Linked DNA regions of Astyanax mexicanus. The protein of the gene in region 1 purifies or fractionates together with the protein of each later gene. This does not show direct contact. Links are inferred from orthologs where the notes say so. Each region holds a gene or a part of one and is shown on either strand. Other genes may lie near its edges. The genes, in order: kat14 and zzz3.

What was found.
Region 2: the proteins of kat14 (region 1) and zzz3 purify together in Homo sapiens (affinity purification with mass spectrometry; 4 studies listed by BioGRID and IntAct, with this or other methods). This does not show direct contact. The link is inferred for Astyanax mexicanus from reciprocal best matches to the Homo sapiens genes KAT14 and ZZZ3.

The regions. Positions count from the first base shown.
Region 1 is NC_064430.1:23,799,959-23,815,873, forward strand, and holds the start of kat14 (cysteine-rich protein 2-binding protein), read right to left. Parts: upstream 7,024-15,915; coding exon 6,765-7,023; exon of another isoform or gene 6,545-6,764; intron 5,886-6,544; coding exon 5,764-5,885; intron 4,544-5,763; coding exon 4,422-4,543; intron 3,307-4,421; coding exon 3,125-3,306; intron 2,209-3,124; coding exon 1,789-2,208; intron 870-1,788; coding exon 624-869; intron 1-623. Other genes in the region: protein PET117 homolog, mitochondrial, read right to left, coding at 7,414-7,554, 8,291-8,386. UniProt on the Homo sapiens protein: Component of the ATAC complex, a complex with histone acetyltransferase activity on histones H3 and H4. May function as a scaffold for the ATAC complex to promote ATAC complex stability. Has also weak histone acetyltransferase activity toward histone H4.
Region 2 is NC_064415.1:55,919,922-55,935,699, forward strand, and holds the start of zzz3 (ZZ-type zinc finger-containing protein 3), read left to right. Parts: upstream 1-9,921; 5' UTR 9,922-10,026; intron 10,027-11,390; exon of another isoform or gene 11,391-11,706; intron 11,707-15,778. Other genes in the region: usp33 (ubiquitin carboxyl-terminal hydrolase 33), read left to right, coding at 1-55, 784-910, 2,934-3,103, 4,180-4,261, 4,338-4,446, 5,585-5,687, 5,962-6,030, 6,809-6,966.

The DNA.
Region 1 (15,915 bases):
CATAGGGGCGCAGTCACAATACAGACATTTTATCCTTTTAAACGCTCCTCATTTGTGAAGTGTTTATCCATCTTACCCTGGCTACCTCCAACAGACTAATGTTCATTTCTTAATGTTCCATCACAAACCCGCATTCTGAAGTTTAATCCAGTGTCTGTCACCACCTGATATGAACATGAGCATAGGCTTGTTAACAATGCATTGAATCATTGATTCACTTAATGAGTTGACTCAACCTAAAGCGTCTGAACAAAAATATATATATTTTTAACAGTTAAATCTAGTTTTTAACCATTTCTTTGTCATCTGTTGATTAATTTTTAGTAGGGGGGGGAAATAATCTATTATAATCGAAAATCTGTTTTTTTTTTTTTTTGGTTTATGCTATAATCGCCCATCGCTAATTTCACCCTACAGATTTCCTTTGTTTTTGCATTTTCTGTCATTCTGATATTTTTACAAGACAAAGATAACCTGAGTAAACATGAATAAAATCTTCCAAAACCTTCCAAAATCCCTTAATAAATAAAATCATCATTTTAAAAACTGCTTTTTTTTTATATTTATTCAGGTTATCTTTGTCTGATAATTCAAATTTAAAAACAATCTGCTGGCAGACCCACCTTTTTCCTTCCTCCGCTCACTGCCGGCAGGAACTCGGGTCCTCAGGCCTTCGTCCTGGCCCTCCTCTCCCTCTGCATCTCGAGCTCGCTCCTCATCCTCACTCTCTGGCTCCTGCTTGATGAGCTCAACAGGCCGCTGCTGCTTCTTCCGCACAAACAGCGTCCCTGCAGCCAAGGGCAGAGTGGCAGGAGGGATACACTCGATGCCGGGGTCGATCACGCCCTCAGTGTCCAGCTCTTCATCATCTGGAGCACAGAGATACACAAAAACATTCAAACCAGAAATTATTAACTCTTAAACAAACCAAAATACATTAAGATACTCTTATCTGTTTGTTAATTTGAGTTTGTTTCTGGGGCTGGTAACTCTGATGAGCTTATCCTGTACAACAGAGGAAACTCTCGCTCTTCCTTTCCTAAAGCAGTCCTGATGAGTGCCAGTTTTATCATCATATTGATTTTGATTGTCTTTGCGGTGACTGCACTTGAGGATACTTTCAAACTACTTGAAATTCTTATTTTCATTTTTTATGAAGTTATGAATTATATATTTACTATTTACTATGCTTTTCTTCCTAGTTTGGATGAGTTTGGTATTAATCTACAATGTTGAACTTTTAAAATAATGGAAAAAAAAACAAAAAAAAAAACACACTGAATTTAAGTTGTGTCCAAACACTTGATTGGTACTGTATATGTGGAACCCAAATACAGCTCTGGAAAAAAAATAAGAGACGACTTCAGTTTCTATTCAGTTGCTATTTATAGGTTTATGTTTGAGTAAAATGAACATTGTAGCTTGAGCCTTTAAACATTTCTCCCAAATTCCAAATAAAAATATTGTCATTTAGAGCTTTTATTTGCAGAAAATGAGAAATGTCTGAAATAACAAAAAATTCAGAGCTATCAGACCATAAATAATGCAAAAAAAAAAAAAGTTTGGTTTTTAATCACAGTTTTTTTATGCACCGTGGCATCATGTTTTCCTTCACCAGTTGTACACACTGCTTTTGTATAACTTTATGCCATAATTTTAAGCAGTTCAGTTTGGTTTGATGGCTTGTGATCATCCATCTTCCTCTTGATTATATTCCAGAGGTTTTCAGTTTGGTAAAATCAAAGAAACTCATCATTTTTAAGTGGATTGGGTTTGCAGGGTTCTCACCGTGGAACAGCGCCTGAGGGGGCATGACGTCAGGAATCAGGTCGGCTTCAGACAGCAGGCTGGGCGTGGCCGAGTGAGAGGCGGGCGTGCCGGGGGCGGAGAAGTCGGGCGAGGGGGATGGGGACGGAGACGTGAGGGGGGTCCTGTCTGATGAACTCATGGAGGAGAAGTCTATGACCTCCCCCTTCTCCAGCAGCAGGTCCGGTCTCCGCCCGCGGTTCCCCAGTTTGACGGGGGTGGAGGAGGCGCTGTGCTCCAGGAAGCCGGCGGCCTCTTTCTGAGCACGGCGGATGTCTTTAGCCTCCTGCGTCCGAGAGCGCTTCTCCTTCAGCTGCATGGCGCTCTCCACCGGGTTACGCCCCCCTCGCTTCCGCAGGCCCTCCACCGTGATGGTGGGGTCCAGACATGGCTTAGACGCGGCTGAAGAGAGAGAGAGATGATGGAAACATGAGATAAATATTTATCACACCTCAATATAACGCGTTAGGTATCAAAATTCAATACCAAAAATGTCTCTGCGTGCCATATCTTTCATACGCAATAATATTGCTAACGTTTTTGAAATATCGTTCTTTTTAGCAAAAGACTGTTCTTATTTCAGACTGTTCTTATTTCCCATTATACAGCTCTGGAAAAAAACAAGAGAGACTTAAAAATGAAGTTTCTTTGATTTTACCAAATAATTGGAATATAATCAAGAGGAAGATGGATGATCACAAGCCATCAAACCAAACTGAACTGAACTGCTTGATTTTTTGCACCAGGAGTAAAGCAGCATAAAGCTATCCAAAAGCAGTGTGTAAGAACATGATGCCAATATGCATTAAAAAATCTTTGATTAAAAACCAGGGTTATTCCACCAAATATTGATTTCTGATTTTTTGTTATTTTATTTCAGCCATTTCTCATTTTCTGTAAATAAATGCTCTAAATGAAAAAATTTTTATTTAGAATTTGGGAGACATGTTTTCAGTAGTTTATAGAATAAAACAACAATGTTAATTTTACTCAAACATAAACCTAAATAGCAAAATCAGAGAAACTGATCCAAAAACTGATGCGGTCTCTTTATTCTTTCCAGAGCTGTATATATCTACTAGAGACCGATTATATCTGTCCAGTATAATTTATTTTACTTTAATCCTGGATACATGGAGATATTTGGAGTGCATTGTTATTAGTATCATGACATTCTGGATCAGAATTGACTTCTGTTACAAATCTGATAAAATAAAATAAAATAAATGGAGGTGTGCTTCAGGTCATTGTCCTGCTGCAGAACCCAAGTACACCTGAGCTTGATCTCAGACACATGCTAGTGTGCAGAGAGTTTTACCTTTTGCTTTAAGGGCAGAAGTGGGGGTCTTCTCTCCATCCGGCCGAAGGGTTGGAGGGCGGTTTTGAACCAGCTTCCACCAGCCGGGCTCTCCGAACTCCTGCGCACCCGAACGGAAAAACGTTGGGCTGCCCACAGACAGACACCCTGCCACTGTGCTCCACCAAGTGGAGGTCTTCTTTCTGAGGAAGGGTTTAAAAAAAATAAATAAATAAAATAATAATAATAATAATAATAAATATATATATATATATATATATATATATATATATATATATATATATATAATAAATCACAGATTAGCTTTTGCCATGAGAACGATACTTGTCTAACTACACTGTGCCAAGTGTATAGTTTGGTAGAGGGGGGATAATTATTATTATGGTGTGGGGCTATTTCTATATTTCTTTTTATAGGATTTGGCCTCGCCTCCGTAGTTCCAGTACAATTGACTCTAAATAGTTCAGAAGACCAAGAGATTTTGGACAATTTCATGCTCTCATCTCTTTGCGGGAACAATTTGGGAACGGTCCCACAAAGCAATGGTCAAAAATTCCCATAAACACACACCTAAACCTTGTGGACAGCCTTCCAGAGAGGAGTTAAAGCTGTTATAACTTTGAAGTACATAAAAATATAAAAAAATCCAACCCAGCCCAACTCAGCCCGAGCCTGACCCGACCCATACACTGTCAATTTGAGCCCGAGCCCGAATTAAACCCCACATTATTTTTGAGTACAAGTAAAGCGTTAAAACTGAGCTTTTTAAAAACATTTTTCGAGCTGTTTGAATGAGCGAAATCTTTTCAGAATTATGTTATTTAACATTGCAACACTGAAGAAGCGCAGACCTATTATTTGAAAAAAATGTCTATTAAGAAGTGAGCTTTGAAATATTAAAATACCATATAAAAAACAATGCAAACAATGATCCACATGCCTAAAACCTTGGTAAATTAGATTAGACTTTCCTCTAATCTAATATTGTATCTAATTTAACATGGTTTAAGAATAGAAAATACTTTCTAAACAAGCAAATATTTTCTTTTATATTGAGCTTATAGTCTATGTGCAAAAACACAAAAAAAACTGTAATAAGGCTATACACTGCAACTTTTTTTTTAACACAGTTTGATGTGTTACTTTGCTATATAGTGATTATCACGTGATAGCTTTATATAAAATAAAAATAGCATTAAAAAACAGACGCCTAAATCGCAGATTATTTTCTTGAGCCCGACTATTTTCCCAGGCAGATAATCTAAGCTAGGTATTATCTGGGTGTTCCTTCTCTCACCTTGTCCCCAGTAAGAAGGTCCAGTGGCGGTTGATGAAAGCACAGATGTCCTCCTTCCACCGGAAGTAGCCCTGCCTTCCTGTTCCCTCTAGAGAGAGATTATACATGGCCAGCATCACCACCTGCATAGATGAGCATAAAACTCTTTAGAATCTTCATCAGAGTCTCACAACTAGAGAGTACAGATACTTTTATACATTGGTTGCTAAGGTGTTGCTGGGGGTTGATATGGTGTTGCTATATAATGTAATGAAAATACATTTGGCTGCTAAAGATGAGTTTTCAAACTGTTGCATAAATGATGGAATTGACCGACAGAGCTTTGAAAAGAAACCATTAGGTTTTTGGTCCAGAAGCTGAGATTTTCTAGAATTTTGTGAAGTATTTGTGACCTGTAGATTAATTTACAATTCTGTTAAAAGCTAAGTGTGTCCACCATTAGGACACAACACAAAACATCAATGGTGTGCATGGCAGGAAAAAGCCACTGCTCTCCAAAAAAACATTTCTGCTCTCCTGCAGTTTGCTAAAGATCCCGTGGACAAACTAGAAGGCTATTGGAAGAATGTTTTCTGGACAGATGAGACCAAAACAGATCTTTATGATTTAAATGTAAAGAATTATGTTTGGAGAAAGAAAAACACAGCATTCCAGCATAGGAACTTTAATGGCAATATATATTTCTGTGTCAAACCTAGGAATGTGCCATATCTCATCGTACGCAATAATATTGCCAACCTTTTTTGAATATGGTGAACGATATTATACCCTGAAATATGGTGCCATATCACCCACCCCTAATTATCACATCAGGGTTCTACTTTTTTTTTACTGTTTTTAGCAGAAAAAAAATTCACACCGTTCTCATTTCCCATTATATATCTATTAGAGACAGATTATATTTGTCCAGTATCATTTATTTTACTTTAATCCTGGATATATGGAGATATTTGGAGTGCATTATTATTAATATAATGACATTCTGGATCATTGACTTCTGTTTCAAATTCTTGTATTTTTTTAATATCTCAGTTTGGGGTGTGCCATATCATATCATATGCAGTAACAATTTTTTTTTTTTTTTTTTTTTTTTTTGCAGGAGTGTATTCTTAAAATATATATATTTTTCCCCACATCACCAAGAGTATCGTTATCTCTAAATTATATATAATATATATATATATATATATATATATATCGCCATATCGCCCACCCCTAGTCAAACCTATACCGCAGCTGTGATTGGTCATGTTCATCATTTATCATACAATAAGTGGAGAACATAATTTTTGACACAGGCCTACTTTAAAGACAGTAATCTGAAATCTTCCGCGCTGTGTACCTGCTGCCAGGTGAGCCGCATCCTCTCGAAGCTCTCCTTGCCGTCGTCGGAGCAGTCGGAGCAGATGAACTTGAAGAAGTTGTCTCCTTTCAGGTAGCTGGGCTGCTCTCCTCGAAGCTGAGCTAAACGACCAGAAGACACGAGTGGAAAGAAAACAAAAACACGGTACTTAATACGGCAAAACCAAGTAGATGTCAAAATATTACTGTATAAATGACATATACTTGATTTTCTAAAGTAGCGCCCCTAGTGGCCAAATTGTTTCAAAACTGTGCAGGTCACTGCAATATTCCCACCTGAACAGTACACCTAAGTTTCATACTGATCCTGGCAAATGAGAAGTCTGCCCAAAAAAAAAAAAAAATAAAAAGCCTGCTGAATGCTGATTGGAGGATGATGTCCTGCCATTTTTTTTTATTTTGATTAATGAAGTTGCCCTTAGGTCCAGCTTTAGAGGTTGTAGTATTGTAGATTCTGTATGCAAAGTTGCAGCTTTGATTTTTGTCAGTTTTTTGCTTTAGCCCCGCCCCCTTTTCACATATGTCTGCCAAACTTGATATGGCACCTCAGAATCATGTGCTGAATATGCCTGTAAGTTGTAGTTAAATTAAACATAAGGAGTCAAAAGATATAACTGTTGAAGTGAATGTGGCTTTTGTTCAGAAGGACTAACTTGCATATGGCGGCCATACTGTTTACAAATTTCAGCTTTTTCTTATTTGAGAAAAAGAAACGAGTGGAAAGAAAGCAAAAACAAGGACTGAGCTGAGACCACATGCACTTTGCCTTTCAGGAAAAGACTTTATTGAGATGAGAAGGTCAGTATACACATCCACGACTCCATACTTGTGAACTATGTAAAGTTTGTGAACTACATATTGTGTATTGTGATATATATGTATGGTGAAGTACATGTTTATGAGGCCGATGGCTGGTTTAAGGAACCGCCAGCCACTTCCCTGCCACCCCCATCACTCGTGGGCACTGTGCCGTCCCCTCACCAGAAGCGATCCACTTGTGGCACTTGTCGCAGTAGAAGGACATGTCCTCGTTCCAGCTGCCATCTCCGTCCTCTCCCACATCGCTGTTCAGAGAATCACCGCTCTGGTCGTGGGACAGATCCACGGACGCCTGGTCCTCCGATTCCACAATCAAGAGGGTCTCTCCCTCCACCTCTCCCTCCTCCAGACCCTCTGAGGCTGATGTGCACAAAGCATCTTCATCCTGCCCCGTCAGACTCCTCTGATCCCCACTGTCCATGTCTCCTTCTGAGAGAAAAAAAAACAAAGAACAGAAGACTCTTATTTTAGCAACTAAAACTTGGAATATAATCAAGAGGAAGATGGATAATCACAAGCCATCAAACCAAACTGAACTGCTTTTTTTTTTTTTTTTTTTTTTGCACCAGAAGTAAAGCAGCTTAAATTTATCCAAAAGCAGTGTGTTAGACTAGTGGAGAACATAATGCCAAGATGCATGAAAAAACTGTGATTAAAAACCAGGGTTATTCCACCAAATATTGATTTCTGAACTCTTAAAACTTTATAAATATAAACTTTTTTCTTTGCATTATTTGAGGTCTGAAAGCTCTGCATCTTTTTTCAAATCTAAAAGAAACAGGCAATTTCTCTACCTACTCAGACGGGCCCCTCAGGACCCCCTGGCGGCTTCCTGTCGTTCTCGTTCGAGTACAAGCTTTTGGGTCAGCTTTATCTGCTCCTCCAGAGCTTCCAGATTCTCACGCTTCCTCCTCAAACGCTCCAAATCTCTCACCACCCCCTCACGCAGCTTCTGCAACACACACAGAGACAGATGCAGAGACACAGACAGAGACATAGAGAGACAGAGAGACACACACACAGACAGACACAGAGAGGAAGAGATACAGAGAGACACGCACAGAGAGACAGAAAGACACAGAGAGAGACAGACACAGAGACATAGAGAGGAAGAGACACAGAGAGACACGCACAGAGAGACAGACACAGAGAGACACGCACAGACAGACAGAAAGACACAGAGAGAGACAGAGGCACAGAGAGAGACAGAGACACAGGCAAAGAGACAGACACGCAAACACACACACGAAGAGACAAAGACAGGAGAGGCAGACACAGACACAAACGGAGAGAAAGACAGACACACAAACGGAGAGAGAGACAGACAAAGAGACACAGACAGAGAGAGAGGCAGACACACAAACAGAGAGAGGCAGACACACAAACAGAGAGAGAGAGAGAGACAGAGAGACAGACAGACAGACACAGAGAGAGAGAGAGAGAGAGAGAGGTGGGGTTAATGTTGTGGCAGATCGGTGTATAGTGATTACAGGATCATGTGGCTGCCACTCTCTCAGCTGCAGTTTAAAGAGAATTTAAGAGATTTAACATATTTTAGGATAAAATATCTCGGGTTAATTCTGCTGTTTGTGTCTGTGTGTGTCTTATAGTTACAGTAGCGCGTTATTATTGTTGTTACTGCACTGTATGTCTGTATTGTCCTCTGTGTGTGTGTGTGTGTATGTTACCTGCTGGTCCTGGCTCTGTTTAAGGTGAACTCCGATCACCGTGCTGACCGTCAGAACTACGGAGACTCCGAGCACCAGTTTAGAGGCGGTAGACATCGTTAAAGGACATTACTGAGGACAGCGGCGGTTAGCGGGTTAGCCTAGCCGCGGTACTACAGCACACGGTCTTCCTCTGCGGGGTTTTACCGGATTTAACCGGGGTTTAACCGGGGGTTTCTCCGCCGCTCCGCCGCCTGTTGGCCTGGAGAGATGCGTGCTTCCTAAAGGTACTGCGCATGCGCTGACCTAAACGTTTTCATTACTTCTCTTGTTTTTATTAAATAATAAATTAGTTTTTAGTTTTTGTGCATTAAACCACTAGACTCTGGACTCAAGCTGTCCAACTATCACTGCACGAACTTGTACATTAAATTAATAATAAATATATCAACAATTATTATAAAAAGAAAAGCTAAAGCAGTTTTTATGTCCTCTCATTGCCACAACTTTGCCACAGTACAGAGAGTTATGCCATCCAAATATTGTAACCTACATCTTCAAGGACTTCTACTGGGAACATGCTCTAATAAAGTGCTCCTTTTGTATTTATACAGTTAAATATACACTATGGTAGCACGGTTTGAAAGGGTAGCACAACTTAAAGCTGTTTTAGGGCTCCCTAAAAAATAAAAACAGGTCACTTCGAGAATCCTAATGTTTTGTTGCACAAAACGTTATTTGAGAGCTGTTGTCCATTAGAATAGGCCATAAACCAGCCGATGAACAAATTTATAAACCAATAAAACAGTAACTTGTCCTCCAGGTGCCCGCCCACTGCACTGAAAAAATAGTATAAGCTAATTGTTGGCAAATTATGTGTGTGTGTATGTATGTTTGTGTAAATGTTTGTATGTGTGTGTGTGTGTGTGTGTGGTCCTGCACTGTGAATATTTAGAAATATTTACAGTAAAGAAAAAGTGGGATGTTGTTTGGATCATTTGGGCCTCTGGCTCTGACCTTCTGACCTCTGTGTTACAGCAGGTCACAGTACATGTTCATATGTCCTCTGTGTGTGTGTGTGTGTGGTCCTGCACTGTGAGTGGTGTGTGTGTGTAAGTAACAGTGATGGTATAATTACTTTGAAAAAGTAATCCGATTACTGATTACTCCTTTAAAAAGTAACTTAGTTACTTTATGGATTACTTGATTTTAAAAGTAACTAAGTTACTGTACAAGTTACTTTATTAGTTACTTTCAGCAGCTGCAGACACCACGTCCCGCCGCCTTAACATAAACATTATAACCAGTTTTGCCAATACTCCCTTTATTGGAAAAAGCATTTTAACAGCATCAATGTATCTCTAGACATTTAAAGTTGAACTATTTATTTTTATAAAATTAAAAGACCATTTCTCTTGAATTAACTTAACATAAATAATTTTTTTTTAATAAAAAATAAAATATGGTCTTTCTTGATTTCACTTAACATAAATACTTGTTTTTATAAAAAAATATATAAAATAAAGAAAGTCTTTCTTGACCTGACATATTTAACACTGTAAAACTGAATATTGAACCTGTTGTTCTCTGCAGGGCAGCAAGGAGTGGTATTATAAAACAGAACCGTGTATATGGTCGAGGCCAGGGATCACATATATGCAGACTGCGGTCCGGGTCCGGACCCAGACGTTGTCCAATGCGGACCCAAACCGATAAACTACTGAGAAGGATTTAATTTTGACAGTGTTCATTTAAAGCGTCAGAACTTTTCTTGTCTTTACGGTATACGCACTCTGCGGCATGGGAAACTCACAGACCAATCACGTGTGGTGTAAAATCTTCAAACGCTCTCCTCTGCCAATCAGATCTGTGCAGACCGCTGCCCTGGCTAGTGAATTGGGACGTGGCCGGGAAAACCCGCCTTTATAAAGAGATAGGGAGCCCGAGAACTGGCGGAAAAACGAGAATGGGCGGAAACTAAAAACACGCCGAGCGCGAGAGAGACAGGGGAGAAAGCGAGACGCGTGTGATTGGGGGAGAGCGGAGGGGGATGGGGAAGGGAACGCGGTGTGTGTGTGTGTGTGTGAGGTGGAGAGAGAGAGAGAGAGAGAGAGCGAGAGTAACGTACAGTGACTTGGATAAGTAACTTTAATCTGATTACTGCATTGGAAATAGTAACGCGTTAGATTACTCGTTACTGAAAAAAGTGTCAGATTAGAGTAACGCGTTACTAACATCACTGCTTGGGACCCTGTGTCAGCGTGAGGCTGCCGTAAAAAAATGCCTTTTTAATTTATTTAGACAGCAGTCATATTCATATTGTTCTACCCAGCTACTGATGCATCTGTCACTCTTTACAATCAGGGTAAAAAATAACAGTACTTACGACTGTAATAAACATTAAGTGGTAATTAAGTGGTAAATATTATTTAACATTTCTAAATTGTAATGCTTAAGAATGTTGTAAACAAAGATGAATTGCGATATCAGTTTTAACATTTTGTAGGAATTAATATCTTAACTAGTGTCATAATAATAATTAGTTGAGGCATTCTAACATAAGTATGGTTAAACAATGTAAATTAATTGTAAAGTGCTACTGATGCATCTGAGGCCAAATATCTTAAAGCAGGATTCCTCTACTGTAATTGTATATTTTGGTTTGTGGTAGACAGATTTACCTCAAACCAAAAGGATAGGTATGTGGTTTTAGCAGGTGTCCATTTCTGTCATAATCAAGTGATCACCATGAATTTATTTTGAAAGTTACATTTTTTGTAGCTTGTATTTTTTTCCTTTTCAAATTTCATATTGTTTTTACAGACCATTTGTACTGAAAGATGTTACTGATCTCTATGTATCACATGCAGAGGGGGAACAAAAAAAAGTTTTAGATTTGATTTGCTCACTTGGCATTTTTTGAAAGGCAAAATAATGTAGTAATATGCTCAAAATCATGTAACTTAAATATATAATTATATTAAATTATGGTCCTCCAACCTCTGTGGAGTTGTGGGTGCTAATTTGTAATTTGAACAACTATTTCTAATAAAACAGATGTTTTATTAATGTATAATTTATGTTATTGGATGAATAAAGGGATACTGCAGTGTCTCATAAGACAAGCAGACTGTAAGAACTGTGATTTGTTTTCTCTGTTCTTCTAGTGTGTATGCTGACCTCGGACAGTACTTCTGAAATGCTAATGCTTATCTTTTGGAATTTGATTCCTTTGATTCTTATTTTTTAAAGCATCAGAAAGTTATCAGTATATTTCTGTATGCAGGGCTTAATTTTGCACATGTAAATCCCAAAGCTTTAATCGTTTTAAAAGTTGTATATAGATATTTCTCAGAGTTGCACAGACAATTGTAGGCAGACCACCAGTCACAATAAATTTGAATGAATAACCTTCAATAATAAATTACTGGCCAATACATTGAGGTAACACTTCATGATCAGCCTCAAACCTACTATCCCATGACTTGTAGAAGTAATGTCAGTGTAATTCCTAAGTGGTCAAACATCACATAGAGTTGTTGAAAATTACACTTTGGTTTTAAGTATAACAAAAAGGTGTAACAACACTGAGAGCCTTTGCATATTACCAGATACATTATTTATATAAATTCAATTAAAGGAATAACTTTCACTGAAATACAAAACTGAAATTGTCCTTGGAGCTGACATGACCTTATCCACCTTATCATATTTGGGAATATGAGACACATGGGATAATCAGCTTTTAACTTCAGAACATCTCTGTTCATTACATTAATAATAAATCAATAATTTCTGATTGATTCTTTCAGTGTTTAGTTAAAGTGTTAAAAAGTGGTTGAATGTGGGCATCAAATCCACATTTAATAAAATATTAAAATTATTTTTTTTCCATAAACACATTTCAAGAAACTTAGCGATAGTGTAATCAAATAAACAGACACAAGTGATAGCAATAAAAAAAACATTTATTGACAAAGTTAAGAAACAAACAAAATTAAGAACAGTTAAAAAAAAAAAAAAAAAAAAAAAAAAAAAAAAAAAAAAAAGTGTCCAAACCTCTTTTGAGTAAGCACAAAGGAGACAGCGGCAAAGAAAATTCTCTCAGAAAGAGAGATAGAAACCTTGAGAGGAACCCATACTCCTTGGGTCAATACACAAATTAAAAATGTAAAAATCTGAAAAAGACAAAGAGCATAAACATTAAATGAAACAAAAATATATACAATGCAAATATAAAATCCCGTATAAAGACATACAATTAATAAACCCGCCTTTAATTTTATTATAAAATAATGTATAATTAAGTACAGAAAGATTAATAGTAAAATAGTAAAAGGTAAGTACAATATTAATTGATTAAAGCACTAAAAGACAAACGTTAAAATGTTTTTAATGAATATAAGCCCAAAATAAGACTAAAACATCAATACAATAACCATTAATAAAGCAAGTAACTAAGCAATAAAAGAAATATATACAAAAAGTGTATGGATTAAAACACTAACAGTATACTACATAAAGATAAATACAGTTAAGTAATTAATAAACATCAAAAGATAAACAATGTCAAGATAAAAGGATTAAAGCCTTAAGTACATGAACACAAATACAAAACAGGAAGCAATTAAAAGCATACAATACACAAAACGATTAAAACATTTATATAGTTAAAGAAAATCATTACCTTTTTAAAAGTATGGAATCAATAGCTTTATTAATACCTGCTATTTTCCTTAGGTGTGTTTTATTAAAAAAAAACCCTCTAAACTAGAGTATAGAGCTGGGCGATATGGCCGAAAAAAAAAATCTAAGATTTTTTTTTGTTTAAATCCAATTCTCGATTTAAATCGATTTTTTCCCCCTACTAAAAATCAAACTAAAGATGATAAAGAAATGGTTAAAAACTAGTTCTTATTTAATTTGTTTTCACTTAAAATGTTCCATTTGTGGTTAAAGTGCAACCAGAAACAAGCAAAAAAAACTATTGTAAACAGTGAGAACATCTAGTGACTTTTAGAAAGCTTTCTCCAACATAGTTTAGGTACTGACACAATGCACCCTCAAACTTAAAAAATAAATAAATAAATAAACACACCCTTAAAAACAAATAGAAATAAATAAAATGGTGCCCTTTTTTGATAAAACTTACAAAGTAGACAATAGAAAACAAGTACAATTTATATGCTCTTAAGTAAATACTTTTCCCTATTGGGCTAGAATTGCAAAACAAAGCATTTAAATAAGTGCCAGTGTTCTATAAAATGAGATCTTTTCTCATGAATATGCAAAACATCTTAACTTGTAGTGCATACAAAACCTGGTACACGGTTGGAAGATGTGCCAGGGACAGTTCCTTGATTAACGTTGAATGGTGAACTGGTGCTGCTGCTGCGTTCATTCCTATGGTAGCAGCACTTCTCCCACTCCGCTACATGCTTCTGTTTAAGGTATAGTGATAAATTGGTTCACCTTACAGCGAGGACCTGTTTGGTCTACGTCCGACGCCGCAAAACCGAACCAACTCCAGATCACGGAGCTAGTTGCTCTTAAGCTTCGCCGTCATGTGTTTTGTGTATGTGTGTGTGTGTTTGTGCGTGCAAGGGAGGGAGGGAGTGAGGGAGGGGCGGGGGGTGCGCGTGCTGGAGGGAGGGAGGTATGGAGGGAGCTAGCTAAGCTCACTCTGTGCCCACAGAGGAGCGTCTGTGGTGAAAAAGAAAACTCAGAGAAAATCAATTTTCATAAAAACACATTGTCCTTAACTATAAATTCGAATTTATCGATAAAATCGATTAATCGCCCAGCTCTACTAGAGAACTCTCTAAACTAGAGATTGAAAATATAGATTTTTTAAAATTATTATTATTATTATTGTTTTATATGGTACCTGACTGAGGTGTGACTGATGTGGTGGCTGTGTCGTGGTGTATACTTAGCCAGGGGTCATAGAGCAGATGGTGGAGAGATGATCTGAGACTTCTTTGAGGTGATCTCTGTGCTGGTGTTGAAGGGTCACCTCTCACACACAGCAGGATGATTCCTATCTGCAACACTGTGGAGGATTTGGCCTCATGGGTAAACCACTCATGAGGAAGGTCCTGAAAAGTAAATTAGAGACAGTGACTGAGCGTTAAGGAATGTTTTTGACCTGAATCTCTATTCAGTAATGGTAGCTTCTACGAAGACAGTTCTCTGCCTGTAGTGTTCACTGAAAACCCATACCAGAAGAACAGAAGATGAAGGCGTGGTTCCTAACTGTACATCTGAACCAGGATGTTCTATGGCTTGAGGTCACAGTGCAGAACCCCTCTGGCATGGACCTCAATCACGCCTTCAACTAGCTGCCTTAGAAGTACCTGCAGAGTACACAGAGCACATTCTAGTAAAGTTAAATTGGCTGAAATTTATCCCAACATTTGCAATACTTGTGATTGTCGGCACGCTGCCACGTTAAATAAAAAAAATATATAAGTACCTACAGAGTGTAAGAAACAGACAGAAGGAAATTACAGTCGCTATAGAACAGGCAAACAGTTATCCAGTGGGTAGCTGCTACATTAAGGGTGAAGAGAGAAGAGTGTTCAGGTACCTAACGATTTTCCAATGATTTCACAGTTGCAGACAAATTTCCAGTCAGGATAAAATCACGAGAGTCTGGCTAGAGTAGAGCTGCAGTTGAGTTGCGGTCGTGTCATCTCAATCGTTAAGTGTAAGGTGGTTACGATTGAAAGTTTTAGTCAGTCGGGTTTGGGTACTGGCGCTCCGATAAAATCAACTGGGTTTGTTTTTTATTTATTAGCAGTGTGAGCAGCAGCTGTAAGATCGAAAGAGCGTATTACACCTCTCTGTTTGGAAATATTTTAAAGTGGACTGCAAAGGCAGGATTTTACAAGGTGGGAAGGAAAAAAAATGCACATTCAACAACAAACATGATTTACCACCTGAGAAACAATAAGCACCCAGCACAATCCTCCCAGTACACTGCAGACACTCAGTACAATTAGCAACAGCACTGCCAACACATTTCTCTGTGTGTGTTTCCGTCCCTTAATTAGTTCCCCCGGTAAGTCAGTAATAAGAACAAATAGAGTAATAATATTAAGCTATTAATGTATTAACATACATTCATCAACCTCTTTTGGGTGGGGATGGAGAAGGTGGAGTGGCCACTGCTTCAGCTGGAGCTCCAGGACACTGAGGATGTTGTGTCTTTTGGAACGGGGCCTGATTTTACAGAACAGAAACAAAACAGTTCATGGTAGCTGTATCAATTTATCCAATAAAGTACAGGTCTACAGGTCTTACTTTATATAAATAAAACTAACCGACATAAAAAATATGCATGAAAATGTTCAGGACATCCAGAATGGCAAGTATTTAAAAACACGGTCCAGTGTTAATTTTTAGTAACATGTTTAAAGTCTATACTATCTAAGACAGTGAGACAAATACAGCAACTTTTCTAAAATGACACTCTTCTACTGCAGCACAGACGTACACTCCCTCCTTAAAAAAAATGCTCAAAACCAGAAAAAAAAACAAACACACCCTGGGAGGTTAGCTCTTTAAATAGCTTTTGACCAGCATAGGTAATGTTTATTTCTGGATGATCAGCTGGACTCAGCAGGGCCAACATTAGTAGCCTA
Region 2 (15,778 bases), on another chromosome or scaffold:
CAGATCACCACCTACGACCTGTTGTCCGTCATCTGCCACCATGGCACGGCCAGCAGTGAGTATTTATTTCCTTTAATTTACCCCAAAATCATCAGTGCTCCTTATAATCTGGTGTGCATTTTGTATGAAGTTTACCAGTCAGGTATTATAAAGAGCAGTAAAGCCACTCCACTTAAGTACAGCGTGCTAAGGGTGAGTTTTAGTGAAGTTTCTCCTGCACTAAGACTGGGTGCAGCAGCATTAGCATTAGCTGCTAACCGCACGGCTGGCTCTTCCACCATTCAGAGGTGTATTGGACTGTATATTGGACTGTTGTCTGCATGTTTGCCGTTTTAAAACAAGTTACGTGAGACGAACCGCTAGCTGATTTTACATTTACATCCTGCTAGCGCTTCACTTAGCGGCTAATGCTAAAGATGCTGCACCCAGCCTTAGTGATGGAGAAACTTCACTGAAAACTCACCCTTAGACAAAATATTGGAAATCTAAGCTTACTGTTAATAAACAGAAGCACTTTACTCACCCAAATAAACGTGTAGATTAACATCCAGAGCTTGTTTGGCTTTTTTTTTGAATTACAGTTTTGTTTATTTAGGCTCTTCCCCCAGCTTCCCCATTAGAAGGGAAACATGGAGACAACCTTGCTCACTTCGATGTAGGCATCCTTACTAGTGTTGCTTAAGGTGCCTTATACTTAGTCCAAAAAATACTAAGTAAATAATAAGTATCCTTATAGCATTAGCAAACATGAATGGTTTCTAATTTGATGGTTTCTGTGTGCAGGCGGCCACTACATTGCCTACTGCCGGAATGATCTGAACCAGCTGTGGTATGAATTTGATGACCAGAGCGTGACTGAGGTCTCGGAGTCCTGCGTTCAGAACGCTGAAGCCTACGTGCTCTTCTACAAGTAAGACCCACAAAAAATATTTTTATATTAAAGGTGTTTATCATAGTCTGTAACTTTTGAGCATTTGGTAAGAATGTGTAATGTTGCATCATGCATGTGAAAAAGTACTTTTAAAACGTGCATTGTGGTGCAGTCTCCTTTTAGAGCAAATTAATCTGGTGATTTTAGCACAGACTCGTTCTCTCACTGATATTCTCTTTGGTATTTTGTCATCTTAAGTTTTAATGCTGTGTTTCTTGAGTGCAAGTACAAGGAGTTGGTCATGCTAATATCTCTATACTCACAGTAGCTTATGTATGAGTGCTGTTAACAGTTTGAGGGTTGTTCTGGTAACTAGAAAAAACTGTGCGAATGATATATAAGGTATGGCCTGTAGGGGGAGCCCAGGAGAAAAACTGTCAATTCTCTGGTCCTCCCTGTCTGTTATTCCAACCCATTTTACCTATGTTTTAACAGTGAAATGGCTTATGATACTACCACCACCATGCTTAAAAGTAATTACAGTAGTCTTAGTCTTAAATGCCTCAACTTTAGCAACTGTGTGTTTTGACTGTGTTTGCACTTTTATGTATTACATATTCAATTTTTTTAATGCAGGACCCTTTATGCAGCCATTTAATTTATGATGATTTATGATATTTAATAAAAATAACTATTAAATGGGTGTTTCCATTAAGACTAACCTCCCCATCTCAGCCTTATTTAATTTAGTATAGTGCTCAATGCATCAAAATCATATTTTCTTCACAATAGATTTTATTCATCTATGTCTATTAGATTAAATCAGAGAACTTGGCATTACCAGTGACTGTATTATATAATGCTGTTAGATGGTGTGTGAAGTTTTTTACTCAGAATGGCAAACTGCAGGCTGACAAATGTGCTTTTGTGTAGAGCAGTGACTCACAACCACTGTTGATTGCAGCTAATAATTAGTAGAAATACAAAAAAGAAAATACTGTGGCCATGCTCTCTATGATTGCTGGTTTCTCAAGGACGGCTAATGGCCCAGCTGTTGCTGGAAGGATAATACTCAAGGTTGTAATTACAGCAGTGAACCTGAAACTCCAAATCTGCCTATTTACTAACCCTGGCCAGCAGTGGGGAGTTCAGTCCTTTATCTGGGAATGCATTTCAGGGTCACGCTGTTGGTTAAAAAGCTCTGTATAGTACTGAAACAGGAATCTTTCATTCATAATAGAAATGAAATCCCTTTTTGGAGCTATCTACTAAATAGAGCTGTACAGTATTGGGGACAAATTGACAATACATGATATTTATTGCAGATTTACAGAAGCCAGAAGAAATATAATGATATTTATAATTCACTTTGTTTCATCAAGATTTAAGTAACATTAATTAAATTGAGCAGCTCTAATCTATCTTGAGTAGATATGTCATGGGAAATGAGAACAGTGGAGAATTAGCTGTGTCCAATATTGTCAAAAAATGTGGTTTGTTTCTTAAACTGTTGGATATCACAATATTTATCTAATCGTCATTTTCTAAACTTTTTTTTTCTTTTTTAACAGGTTGCATTTGTTACTGTTTAGGACAGTTTCCGACTAATATATGCAAGTTAGCCAAACTGTTAGCCAAGTTAGCCAAGCTAGCTAAACTGCTGTATGCTCATTAAGTGAAATAAAAAGCAACATATTGTAAACTGGCTGTTTTTTCTGCTTAGTGTCCATACTTGAACTACACGAACTTATTGCTTGTGGTCTGCATTAGCCTCTTAACTCAAATTCCATTCCCCAAATGTCCCTCTTGTGTGATTGACTACATTTGACATGTTTGTTTAAAATCCTGTATTTTTGCTTTTTCACTTCAGATGCTGCTTCTGTATCTCTCAGCTTGTCAAGAAATGCATGTGTAAAGCTGTACATTTACAGAAGTTGTGTAAAAGTGACTTAAGCTTCCTGTCTGTAGGGGGAGCTCTAGAGCCCTCACATGATACGTCTTGAAGATATGCAAGCGTGTTAAATTTTCTGACCCTGTATTTTATTTTATTTTTTTGCCACAGGAAGAGCAACGAGGATGCTCAGAAGGAGAGGCGGAGGGTGACGGCGCTGCTCAACATGATGGAGCCCAGCCTGTTGCAGTTCTACATCTCGCGCCAGTGGCTCAACAAGTTCAGGACTTTCGCAGAGCCTGGTCCCATCTCCAACCACGACTTCCTGTGTGCTCATGGAGGTGAGGGAGAAGGTTGTAGAATATGTATGTGTAGGGTGTAGGCAGAGTGGTCCAGTGGGCTAAAATGCTGCCACTATGATCGGGAGATTGCTGGTTTTGAATCCCGGTCATGCAACTTGCCTTCAGCTGCTGGATTCATGAGAGAGCAAAATTGGTCTTGCTCTTTCTGGCGCTCTTTCAGCTCATCACTCCTAGGGTGATGTGGATCAGCACAAGGCGTCTGTGAGCTGATGTATCAGAACCGAGTCGCTTCATGAAACTTAAGAATTTGAAAACTTGAAAATTGTGGTCAAGCTGTGATTAGGACAAAATCCAGAAGGCCTGTAATAGCTATGAATATGTTCTGATTAATAAGTGAAATATATATATATATATATATATATATATATATATATATATATATATATATATATATATATATATATATATATATAATATTTGTTCAGCCCTGCTGAGTGTCCAAGTATTGGAGTATTCCCGGTTTCCCTGGCTACAACCCTAACCTTGACTTTAGCCGAGCCATTCACAGTTCCACATTGCAGAACGTCGCTTTCTGCCAACTGTGTGAGGGCCAGGAGGGCAAGGCCTATTCGCTTCCTCTCTGCTGATTGTGTTTACTTTCCATCTCTTCCTCTTTTCTTGTCGAGGCAGCTGAGCAGTGATTGCAGAAGGCGGTGCGTCTTTTAAAGGACGTTTCAGTGGCTTTCAGCTCCGCCTGCTCTGAATCCTACAGGGATTTGAGTCTGAGATAAAAAAGAGGAAAAGAGGCTAACAGCTAGAGCATGACCGTACATGCATGTCTTAGTTCTTTTAGGCCTCGAGTTCTTAGTCTATTTTGTTTCATACCCAGTTATACACAGTACAAATAGCAGTGAAATACTTTGACATTTGATTGGGCACATCAAATAATAAGATAATAGAGGAAAGAATACATAAAATATATAATAATGAATGAGTAAATGACGTTGTATTTATGTACAATGCTAACCACCAAGCCACTTTGCTGTACAAAATCTAAAAAAAAAAACGACATATATGGAACTTGTCGAAGCATATTTTACTCTGTACCTACACAGGTGTACCACCACATAAGGCTGCATACATCGATGATCTTGTTTTAATGCTCCCGCAAAACGTCTGGGACCACCTGTACAGCAAGTAAGTCCAAATATCTGGTTGTGGATGTTGGTGTGTTTGGCTGGAGGGAGGTCTAACCGTTGGTTCTCTGCTTTAGGTATGGAGGAGGCCCTGCTGTTAACCACTTGTACGTCTGCCACACCTGTCAGACGGAGATCGAGAAGCTGGAGAAGCGGCGGAAGAACGAGCTGGACATGTTCGTCCGGGTAACTGGAGTTTTACAGTCAAAATAAATAAAGCAAATGCAGAATTCAATTCAATGCAAACTTTATATCACCCATAATATACATTCTATTATCAAAAGTATATGCTGGCCCATCTTAATTATTGAACTCTCAGGTTCAATCACTTCCATGTCGACAGCTGTATATACCTCATCACTAGTGATGCCACAGCACAAGGAGTTGCGTGTGAACATGTGAAGTCAGACTCCGCCTATTTTTGAACTGCTGCTTATGCAGCATTGCCGAGTAGCATCACAGTGCTATACATCAGCTCACAGACGCCGCATGCTGATCCACTAGGTGTGATGTGGGGAGGGGGAGGCCGTTTGTGCTCTCTCAGGGCTCTGCCAGCGGATGTCAAGCTGCATAACCAGGTTTCGAACATGCAAGCTTCTGATCATAGTGGCTGCGATTTAGCTTGCTGAACCACTTGGCACCTCCAGTTATTATACTCCAGTCTTTTTATATATCCAACGAACACAGTAAGACCTTTTCCCGTAATAGTAATCCTTACCCGTGTAAAAAGGGGTTGTGACTTTTCCTTGGGTTTCTTCCTCCAGCTTTAGGAGCGCTTTTTATTATCACTGTCACCTTTAGCTTGATTAGTGGGAGTTTTATATTTCATGTTTTTAGGTGTTTAATCCTTTGTGACATCAGTTATACAAATGGTATACTGTACAAATGTGTGGTGCTGAGTGTTTTCTAAGAATTGGTGTGATTGCACGAGCTTGTGCACACACACACACACATAAACAAACATTTCCTCCACCCTCAATAACACCATTTTCACAAGCAAAGATCAGAAGCCCGAGTCCCCAAAACTGGGTGTCATTATTAATTCATGAGAACAGATGCACTTTCAGCTACAGCGTCTCAGAGCAGCTGAAGGGAAAAGAGAGCGCAGGCAGAGGAAATGAATTTCTGTCTTTCTTCATTACGCCTTCTTTCAGCTGCTGCGTTCCTTTCTCTCAGGCTGAAAGCTGGGCGTTCTTTACAAGAGCCAGTAAATCTTAGAGGTGTTCTGAGAGACGTGTGCTTTCCTTTTCTCTCCTTCACTGACTGACTCTCCAGCTGACTGACGATTTATTTCTTTGTTTGTGTTTCTCTGTATTGTGTGTAGCTGAATAAGGCCTTCCAGGAGGAGGAGTCTCCGGTGGTTATTTACTGCATCAGCATGCACTGGTTCAGAGAATGGGAGGCTTTTGTCAAAGGCAAAGACAATGGTAAGTAATGAACACGGCAGCACACCTCCCCCCATCAACTGTATCAAAAGCTTATTCTTATAAGCTTATAAAATGCCCTAAATATTTCTTCTACAGGCCAAAACATATGGAGAAAGCAATATTTTACTAATACAGTACATACTTTACAATTACTTTATAGATGCTTCTAGCATCTGAGTCATTTGCACTCTCTATAGTCAGATGCTAATCATCTTCAGCTAAGATTAGCATAGCATTTTGCTAATATAATAATCTAATCACGTTGTTTTTCCAGATCCGCCAGGACCAATTGACAACTCTAAGATCGCTGTGAATAAGAACGGGCACATCACCCTCAAGCAAGGTAATGTTCTTTATCAGAATTTACTTTGTCATTATTATAAAATAATAATAGCATTCGATATTACCACCATTGTAGTTCTCATTCCTAATCAGATTATGCTATGTGTCTAAATGGTTCTATACTGAGTCCTGACTAATCAAAGCACTGTTAGGCTGCTTTAAATGGTCTTTGCCTGGTTACACTGTTCTTCACTATGATACAAAGCATCTTATAGAACCTATTTAAGAATTTATGTCTTCCTTGTATAAAGGAGTTCTTTAAAGGTTTCATCACAAAAAATTAATCAGTATTTAATCAGTTCTTTGGCTAGTTGAAAAGCCTCTTGAAGGTGATATTATGTAGAACCTTGTTTGCATAAAGTTGAAAATCCTCCCACTTGCCTTTTACTTAGTTTATAACCCCGAGCTCAACCTTTTAAACCCTTTAAAACTGATTGTTCTAAAGGTCATGCTGGGAGACCAGTTTCGTTTAAACTTGTTGTTGATACTAAGCTGATTAGTGGTTCTGGACCAGTTCTGTCTTGACAGTCGAGCAGCATGGTAATTTTGATTATGCTGTTAGACCAGCTAAACCATCATACACAAATTAAAACATTGCATATGTTAGTAAAGAGTTAAGATGTTCACAACCAAACTTAATCAGCGTGATCAGCTTCAGCTGCCACGGCATTTATTTCAGCAACAGTAGAGTTTAATGAGCTAATAATTTAAAGGGACCAGATTTGCTTCTTCTTTTCACTCTAAACGTTGGTTTATTTCTCCTCCGCTGCCCCCAACAGGTGCAGATTCAGGCCAGATATCTGAGGAGACCTGGAACTTCCTCCACTCCATCCACGGAGGCGGACCAGTGGTGACAGTGCGGCCCAGCGTCAGCCACCAGGAGGTGGACAGCTCCCAGGCCGAGGAGAAGATCGAAATGGAGACACGCAGTGTGTAGCAGCTTCAACCTGCTGCCCTTTTAACAGGGGACTGGAAAACAATCTGTTATTTTGCACTTGACTCTTTCTTTTCATCTCTAAAGCATTTGAGCAAAAGATCTGACCATGCCTTGTCTCCTCCCTCCTTCACACACACACCTCCTTCACACACACACCTCCACCACAGTCTCCATTCCATATGTGAACCATTCCCTGCTGCAGAGAAGTGGAATATGTCTCAGAATAGGCTTCGTATTTGTATATACAGCACTGTCTGTCCACATTCTATTGGCACTGGTGACTAGGTTAGGCTTTAGAGGAATGGATTGGTGAAAAATCACATTTGCACATGTTCACACTTACCTTAGGTAAGGTAGTTGATCGACCAAGGCAGCTGAGGTTCACAGACTTTGCTTCTTTAGTTTAGCGCTGGAGTTATGAGGCTAACGAACACTGGAAGTCACTAGTCATCCAAATCATCATTACTGATTGCTTTTGTTTTTTAATATTGTATCCATATGTTGGTGAATTGCTTATTGTTGGCACTGATGCAGTGTGCTCAAGCTTAACCCTTATAAAATAAAATTAAATTAAATTAAATAAAATGGTTAGAGCTAGAGCTTGAAAGCTATTGTTGATACAAACAGTGAATGTTAATAGTTATCCAATTAGTTATTACTGCAGATACAGCCTGCACATGTCTGAACTCACTTAAACCATATTAATGTCATCCTTAAAATGGCACAGGCTTGTTAATGTGGTTCAGGATACAGTATGACATACTGTAAATGATAAACATATTAATAACTAGCACGTAGCTAAAGCTAGGAGAAATTCTACATGCCCCACAACCTCACACAATCCCACAGATTATGTTTGCTATTTGTATTACTATTTATATACATGTAAAGTATTTTAAAAAGTTTAAAATGGAATTCAAAAGTAATGGTTCTTTTAAAAAAAGGAACAACAGAAATCACAAACGTTCAGTTTCACAGTGAGGTTTTGTTCATATTTATAGTTCACTTTTTGTCTTATTTCACCCTAAACAACAACACAGACATGTCTACTCAGCAGTTTGCAGTTTGAGTGATTTTTGGATGACTTGGCTTTTAGTGTAAGCTAAAGAAGCAAAACTGCTAAATGTCTTGGTTGATCCACATCAACCATCATTCCACAAAGTGGAAAATGTAAAATTTTACACCAAACCGTTTCTTTAAAGGAGCGACAAGTGAAACTTTCCTCAGACACGTATAGAAAATGTGTGTAAGCTAGAATATCGCTGGAAATATGCATTCCTTTCCTACTTTTTCAATGAAAAGCACTAATCTTTCCTCTGTACAAAAAAAAAGACCCACGGGTTCAGCCAGTAGGCTAGCGAAAATATCGCTTATCGCTCCTTTGAGGTAGATCCTTGAAAAGGCGCCTTTTGGGAGCAAAACAAATGTACCGTTTTTTGTGACCAAATAGAGAATAATCTGTGAGTTGCTTAGCTGAACTTGGTGAAGAATTAAAATGCGTAGTACTGTACTCGTTGTCCGGTTTTAAAAGGAAAATGTCCGTCCTAGGGAGCGGACGTTTCACTGCTCCGCCTGAGATTGTGAAGGGATCCGAAGCGCTAAATAGTCTCAGGAAAGGACTGTGTAATTTTTTTTTTCTGTTTTGCACTGTTTCCGTAGGCCTCCAGCTCTGCATGCTCCAATACTGATGTCCGATTTCTATCTGAATGTACTCGTACTTAATGAACACAGAGTTTCTTGCATTCTATGTTATTTATTCCAGAAGGGGTAACGTGATTTACTATAATGTTTATACTTTTTTTTTTCTTTTTCTTTTTTTTCTTTTTTTATTCAGCGAGCCAAACCTGATATGAAATGCATGCTGGAACGAAAGATATGATCTGTAGGCTGAAACTCCACTTGACTTGCATGTAGATGCAGAGCTGCTCTAGAAGAACAAGGCACACATTTAATTGTATGTATAAAATAAAGAAAAATAGACATGAATCTACTACAACTGATTAAAGATTGAGGCATTAATTTATGTATATAATGGCATGATTTATTTTTTCTTTTTATTATTTTTTTGATGCTCATTGACTGGAATAGAGGACTGACATATCTGTCATTTATGAAAGCTGTATGGGAAGAATGAGTCCTACGTCTGTCACTTTTTGTTTTGGTTGGCCGAAACAAATTAAACCCAAAATTATTCAGTGAACGTGGATTTGTGGTTTCACTTATTTAATTTTTTTCAATTAAATATTCACAATTCTAGTCTGTTTAACTGATCGAATAATGCTACACTTTTAAAAGGCATTTAGGTAATTTTTTCCCATTTAAAACAAGTATCTCTGGTAGTAGATATCTCTGAGTATATGTGGTAGATTTTTAGATTACTACCTAATTTGAACACAAAGTGTCCTTTACACTGTGTCAAAATTTCTTAATAAATGGACCAATAGAAATTATCAAAAATTACTTGAAAATTCTTTTCACATTGACTTCCATTGAAGGTTAAGAAGATGTAGTAACTCCTGTAAAGTTATTGTCCTACATTAAATTAAATTTCTACAATCCATTTCTACAAGTAAATCTTACAGCACTTCATGCTTCCCTCTACTGACAACTTTTATGAAGATGTGGATTTCATTTTCCAGCAGGACTTGGAACACCACCCAGACTTTTCTGAGACACTGATCTTTGGGTTTTTATTTGGCTGTAAGCCACAATCATTAACAATAAAATAAATAAACCAATAAAATAGATCACTCTATATGTAATACGTCTATATAATATATGTGTTTCACATTTTGAACTGAATTACTTAAATAAGTAAGTAACTTTTTAATAATATTTACATTTTTGGGAACATCTAAAACCATCTAACTACTGTATCTACAAAGACAATCTGGGTTTTTGTGGGATGGATGTACCATTCTCTCTGTCTTTCCCCCACACACACACACGCTTTCTCTCCCTCCCTCTCTCTCCCCCACACACACTCATACACACACTTCAGTTCAGTGGAGAAAAACATGGCAGCTGCCGACTGTGCAGCAGACGCTTTGCGGAAGTGAGGTAAGTAGCTAGCTACAATTCTCCTGCTTGAGAAACCGATTTGTTTTCCAAATAATTCGCTTTCAAAAGTGTTCCCAAGCTTTTCGTGTGCGTCTTTTAAAAGCTTACATTCTATAAAATAAGTGAGCATAGTATGAAAAGCAGAATGATGGTTTGAACAGGAGAGGAGAGAAAGTTAAAACCATCGAATCGGGCGCTTTAGCTTAGCTGAAGTTGGAATTTAGTAGTTCCACCTTAAATGGTGCAGCAGTTCGATTGAGGCACCCGTGCGCTGTAATATTAACTGCTGCACCATTTAAGGTGGAACGGCGCTATTCCAACTTTAGCTAAGCTAAGCGACGGTAAGGCTATGTACAACACGTAGGCCCTTATGTTTAAAAAAACAAACCTAAATACACACATTTATATCAACGTATTCATATAATTTAACACTAATTAAACTATACTTTATAACAAACACCTCTTTTAAACGTTAGTAGGCTATATAAATTATGTAGCTAACGTTATCTAAAAAATACAGTTAGCTTAGCTAACTAGCTATGTTAGCTAATTTAGCAACCCGTGTAACCGCTTGCTTTGCGGTGTTATGCTATCTTAGCTAGCTTTAGCTAACGCTAACTAACACCAAAGTAAGTTAGTGGCTTTTCTTCTGTTTTTATTTTATTTATTATTTTATTATTATTTAACATTAACTTGGCTCAGTTTTCCCTTGCACCATTGAAACCGTCCCCCAAAATGTTCGGGCACGTAAGTCAAATTTGTGCTTAGCGAGTTAGCTAGAAAACCTTCCAAGCCCTGGTGTTCTGTCGAGTTATGCTACCTATCGATACGTGCTTCTTTACGGCACTGCGCATGCGTTAAACAAAATTTTTTTTTATAATGTTTTCATGTCAATTCCTTAAGTTTTTATTAGTAGCATTAAACAACATGATTGAATGATTGTAAAAAACAATAATAATAACCTGTAAATAGCAGTTAGAAAATAGCAATGGAAAGGTTAAGAATAAATAATTAACTAGAAAACTATGAAAAATGATTTGAACTAAAAGTTTTAACTTTACCTGATGAAGTGATTGATCTGCATATCATACCTAGGCTTCTGCTGGGAGTATTTTCTAATATGTTTTCTGATATGGTGTTTTACCTTTTTAAACATGAAATACTACTAGGGTAGCACTGTGTGACAAGGTAGCACAACTCGACAGAACACCAGGTCTTTAATTCAAGCTAGCGTGCTAGCACGGTTGCCCGGCTACCTACCAAGGAGCGGCTCAGAGACCCGCGGCCCACGGATAGCGCCGCTCTGTCGGCTTGAGGGGTTGTGTGTGAGCCGCTGTAGCTAGCTGATGTTAGCTAGTTAGAGGAGCGGATAACTAAAAGGGGCACGTTTCTTGGGCTAGGTTCGTTAGTTATCTAGTTATCTATCAAACTACATGATAAAGCGTTTTTTAATCTGTTTGTCTAATACCAAATCTTAAATCTTTTCGCTAAATCACGAATTCGAGTTCTCCTGGTAGCAACCACGAGTACACCAAAGTATAAGCTCCGGAGCCGGCGAGCGGTTACCACGCAAACCCGCGGCTCCAGTACAGCGCAGGCCAGGCCAGGAGGCGGCGGGGAAAAAGTGCCAACAGTGCGGCTGATTTAACGTTACATTAATCGTAAACAGTGTTGAAAAAGGTGAGTTGGGATGTGTATCAGTTCAGTTTTGGGACTCTTTAGGGCTAAATTGAGGCTAATTTCGATCATATAAGATGCACAATATTGTGTAAAACTTAATTTATATTTTGTACATTTATTATAGGGACCCCCTGAGAAACTAATCTCGTTTGGATAGGGCTTATTTTGGATACTTACACCTGTTTAATTTTATCGTACTTCTCTTTCACATTTCTTCTTTAATTTTTGTTTAAGTATTTAATATATTTTAGTAACGTTATCTGTTTGTTTCAAAGAGTGATGTGTAAACACAGCACAGCACTGACTGACCAGAGAGAATAGTCACTGCACAACGCAGTGCAGACATATAACTCAAGCTACTGTTGCAGTTATGTTTGTTTTTTATCTGACGCACAATGTGCGCTTGCAAAATTATGCTATCATATGATTAAATAATCTAGAGAGCTGTGATGACACCTGCTAAATTTTGTTACACTGGTTGTTCTCCTGTTTGTGTGTTAGAGCAGTTTTTCGCCTCCAAAACAGAACCACCTTGAACTAGGGCTATAAATGAAAGTGACTTGATTAGGAATACAAGCAGAATGCTTACGTAAGTTCTTCAGACCCACAGTCCAATCAATTTAAAAATGCACATTGAAATTGGACATAAAACTAGCAATAAAAATTGATTATCATCAGGTCTTATTTTAAAATGGGGAATGTAGTTACTCTTTCTGCACCCTTTTTTTTCAAACTAGATTTTAATATAATCAATGCTATAAAAATATGGCTAGGTTAGGCACAACTATGCTAATTGGAACTGGCGGCCTTGTCATTCCTTTTAAATGATGTTGGGGAGGGGGTGAAAGTATAGCATTGTAAATGTCTTGATGCATTAAAACAATTTTGCATGTTAATGAAACCCTACCTCTTGATCTCATGTACTTGTCATCCAATAGTGGTTCAGCTCATTAAAAAACAACGATTAAAAAAAAAACATGACCAAAAATAATTACGTTACCTTACATCAGTGCTGATAAGTGACTAACGACCCATATACTGATTTGAATCTGCTGTAGGCTGAATATATGTAAAGGTGTTGCTGTTTGGTGGTGTCAGACTTATTTTTGCAACTTAACTTAGAGGAAGGTATTTTATGTATACCGTATGTATACCACAAGTCAAAAGTTTTAGAACACCTCCAGTGTTCTCTGTAGTCCACTGGCAGCAGTCTTTCTTATTTTGCCATTTTGTTAAAATTACATTAGCCAATATAGCGTTTACTTTCATGCTACCTAATATAGCTGCATCTCCTGTCAGAAGTTTTCACTTCACTGCTGAAACTGAGGGCATTTTAACACCAGCGATTCTTAGTTAAACTGTACTCTGGTTTGTTTTCACCCTTGGTGCAATTTGTTTAGGCAGGTGTGAATACGATAATCACATTCAGCTGCAGACCAAAATAACCACACCTATTCCCTTAAAAAGAGGTGGTCTCAGTCTGGTCCCAAATAAACCTTGGAACAGTTTGTTTGTGGTGAAAGAGGCTCCAACTTCGATCCAACCCAACTATCAAATGTACTTTACAAGTTTGAGTTTTGATAATTTGGTCTAACCAAAAAGCAGACAGAACTATTATTCTAGTGTGAAACCAAACCAAGGGGAAACATGCTTATTAACTGATTTAGACCAGAGAAACCAAATGACTGTAAAATGTCATCCTGGACCAGACATACTTAAGATACGTTTCCAATTTAGAACCACATAAGAAAGCGGCTCAGATCTGATTTGGGAAAAATATGATTTGGCATGTTCACACAGCCATTAAAAAATCTGATTTGAGCCACATTGAGCTAAAAATCAGATATGAGTCACTTCCGTCTGGCAATGTGAATGTAACCTAAAAGCAATCTGCTTTGTCACGTGTTGTGTGAATGTGATGGTGCCATATTAATAATAGTAAAATAATTATCAGTACATTGAGTATCACAGTATAACACTTTAAACTCTTACTTTACTGTTTCTTTAGTTTTTTTCTTTTTTTTCAGTATAACGAATCATAACCTCTGTATTGTGATTAAATAAATAGTTAAATAAATATGTGTAATAACATGAGGTTCAATATATATAATTATAAAACGCCTGAATTATTATACATTAAAGCAGATCTTCAAGAAGCACAAGTGAAAATAACGTTCGGATGATCATGTCTTTGATGATGTTAATTGTTGCTTCTGGAAATTTTAGTAAGTAACAGCTGTTGTATCTGTGATGAGGGCTGGAGTTCACAACGGATTACATTGTACCTTGTGCACCATTGCTTTTAATCTGTGCATTACACCTGATGCACGTGTCAAAACTTAAATCACTGCTAATGGGACGCTCATGCGTGAACCTGTAATCCCACTGGATGAATGGATAAATGGATGGGTTGAGTAGAACCCAAAGACGTGTTAAGTGAACACACTCTTTACTGAAAGGGCAAAACAGAGTGTGGTGTTTAACTTTACATACGTAGTAATTGAAAATTAGCTTCATCAAACCCACAAGAGAGTCTTTAAACCCGCGCTTGACACTGCTGCTCCCGCTGGCTTCTGTCTTTCTTATGCATGGTCAAATCACATTAGCTTCTCTGCAGGAGTCTTCAGCCGAGTGTGAAAGGAATACATATACAGTTCTGTCCAGGTGCCTCCTTTTTCAAGGCCGTGAAGCAAGATGAATATGTCTGCTCCTCGTGGCTGAATAAGCAGAGGCTGGTATGAATGAACAGGCGGATATTTGATGTGTTCTGACAAGCGCAAAGGGCACAGCGGATCTCTCCGATAGACGTTAATCAGTGCGAAATATTAAATCATGTAGGCTGAGTGACAATTAGGCTGGAGTTTGCGGATTTTATGCGGATTTAGTGTTAAGTCTTTGTAGCAAGTCATGCAGCACAGAGTAACTGAGTAGCTTTACATCTGTAGTTCTTAAACAGAACTGTTTAACTGTGTCAAAAAAAAAAAAATTACTCTGCTAGATTTTTCAACGTAGGCCAAATATTTCTAAACAAACTTGTAAATGGAGGACTATAGCCATATCCGGATGAGACTAGTTTCTCAGGGGGTCCTGGGTAATTTTCTTTTTATTCCATTTTGGAACGGCCATGTACGTGTTTTTTTTTTTTCCAGACGTCCTCTGAGAAAATTACATGCTGAATTATCTACTGTTTTTCTCTGAACTCTGTGGTCCTCCGGTAATTTTATTCCTGTCCGGATCCACATCTCTGCATTTCATCAGCTTGCGTTTAATAAAAAAACTGGAGGAGCTACTGAACGTGATGTCATGTGACGGAGAAAGCCAAAAATCTTGTTATTCCTCCTTTTTTTTTAATTGCAGTCCAGGATTTAGGAGTTTTATCACTGTGAAATATTTTCTAAATATATAAGAAACTAATCCCGTCCAGATAGAGATTTAGATGAAGTTTGTGCTACTGCTTGGTTCATCAAATAAATGTATAGTGTTTAAGTGTGCTTTAGTTGCAGTTTAGCTCCACTAGTGTATACTTTAACTCCTGAAGTGTTATTTCTGAAACAATGATTAGCCAGTTAATATAATTGTGCTGCTGCTGCTGCTGTAGTTTTAAAATCTGTTTTTAACATGTATCTAATGGTAGCCTAACTTCATAAACATTTTTATTTTCTGTTGAGTCAGCAGTGTTTCTCTGATGGACTGTTTGATTTTCAGAGCTAGTAAGCTGGTACTAAAAAGAGCACCTGAGAGGCTCTGATAACAGCCCATTTGGAGTCTTAGTAACACTAGAGCATGATGTGCTTTAGCGTTTTCAGACAGATAAGAGCTGAGAATGAGAAAAGCAGTTAAATTCGACTGTTATCTGAAGATACTTGCTGACAGACTTGAGTCTTGTATGCTGGTTCTGTGTTTAAAAGGAGATGTTCTATGTATATCTTCTCACTGTTTGCATTAATGCTTTTAGAATCATAGATGATGATTAGGCAGGTTGATTTTACTTAAAGTAGAAAGTCGGCACCTAAAGTTCTTCCTGGTATAGCAGTATGTACTGTGTTTAGGGGAAATGGAAGAGTTGAGGGAA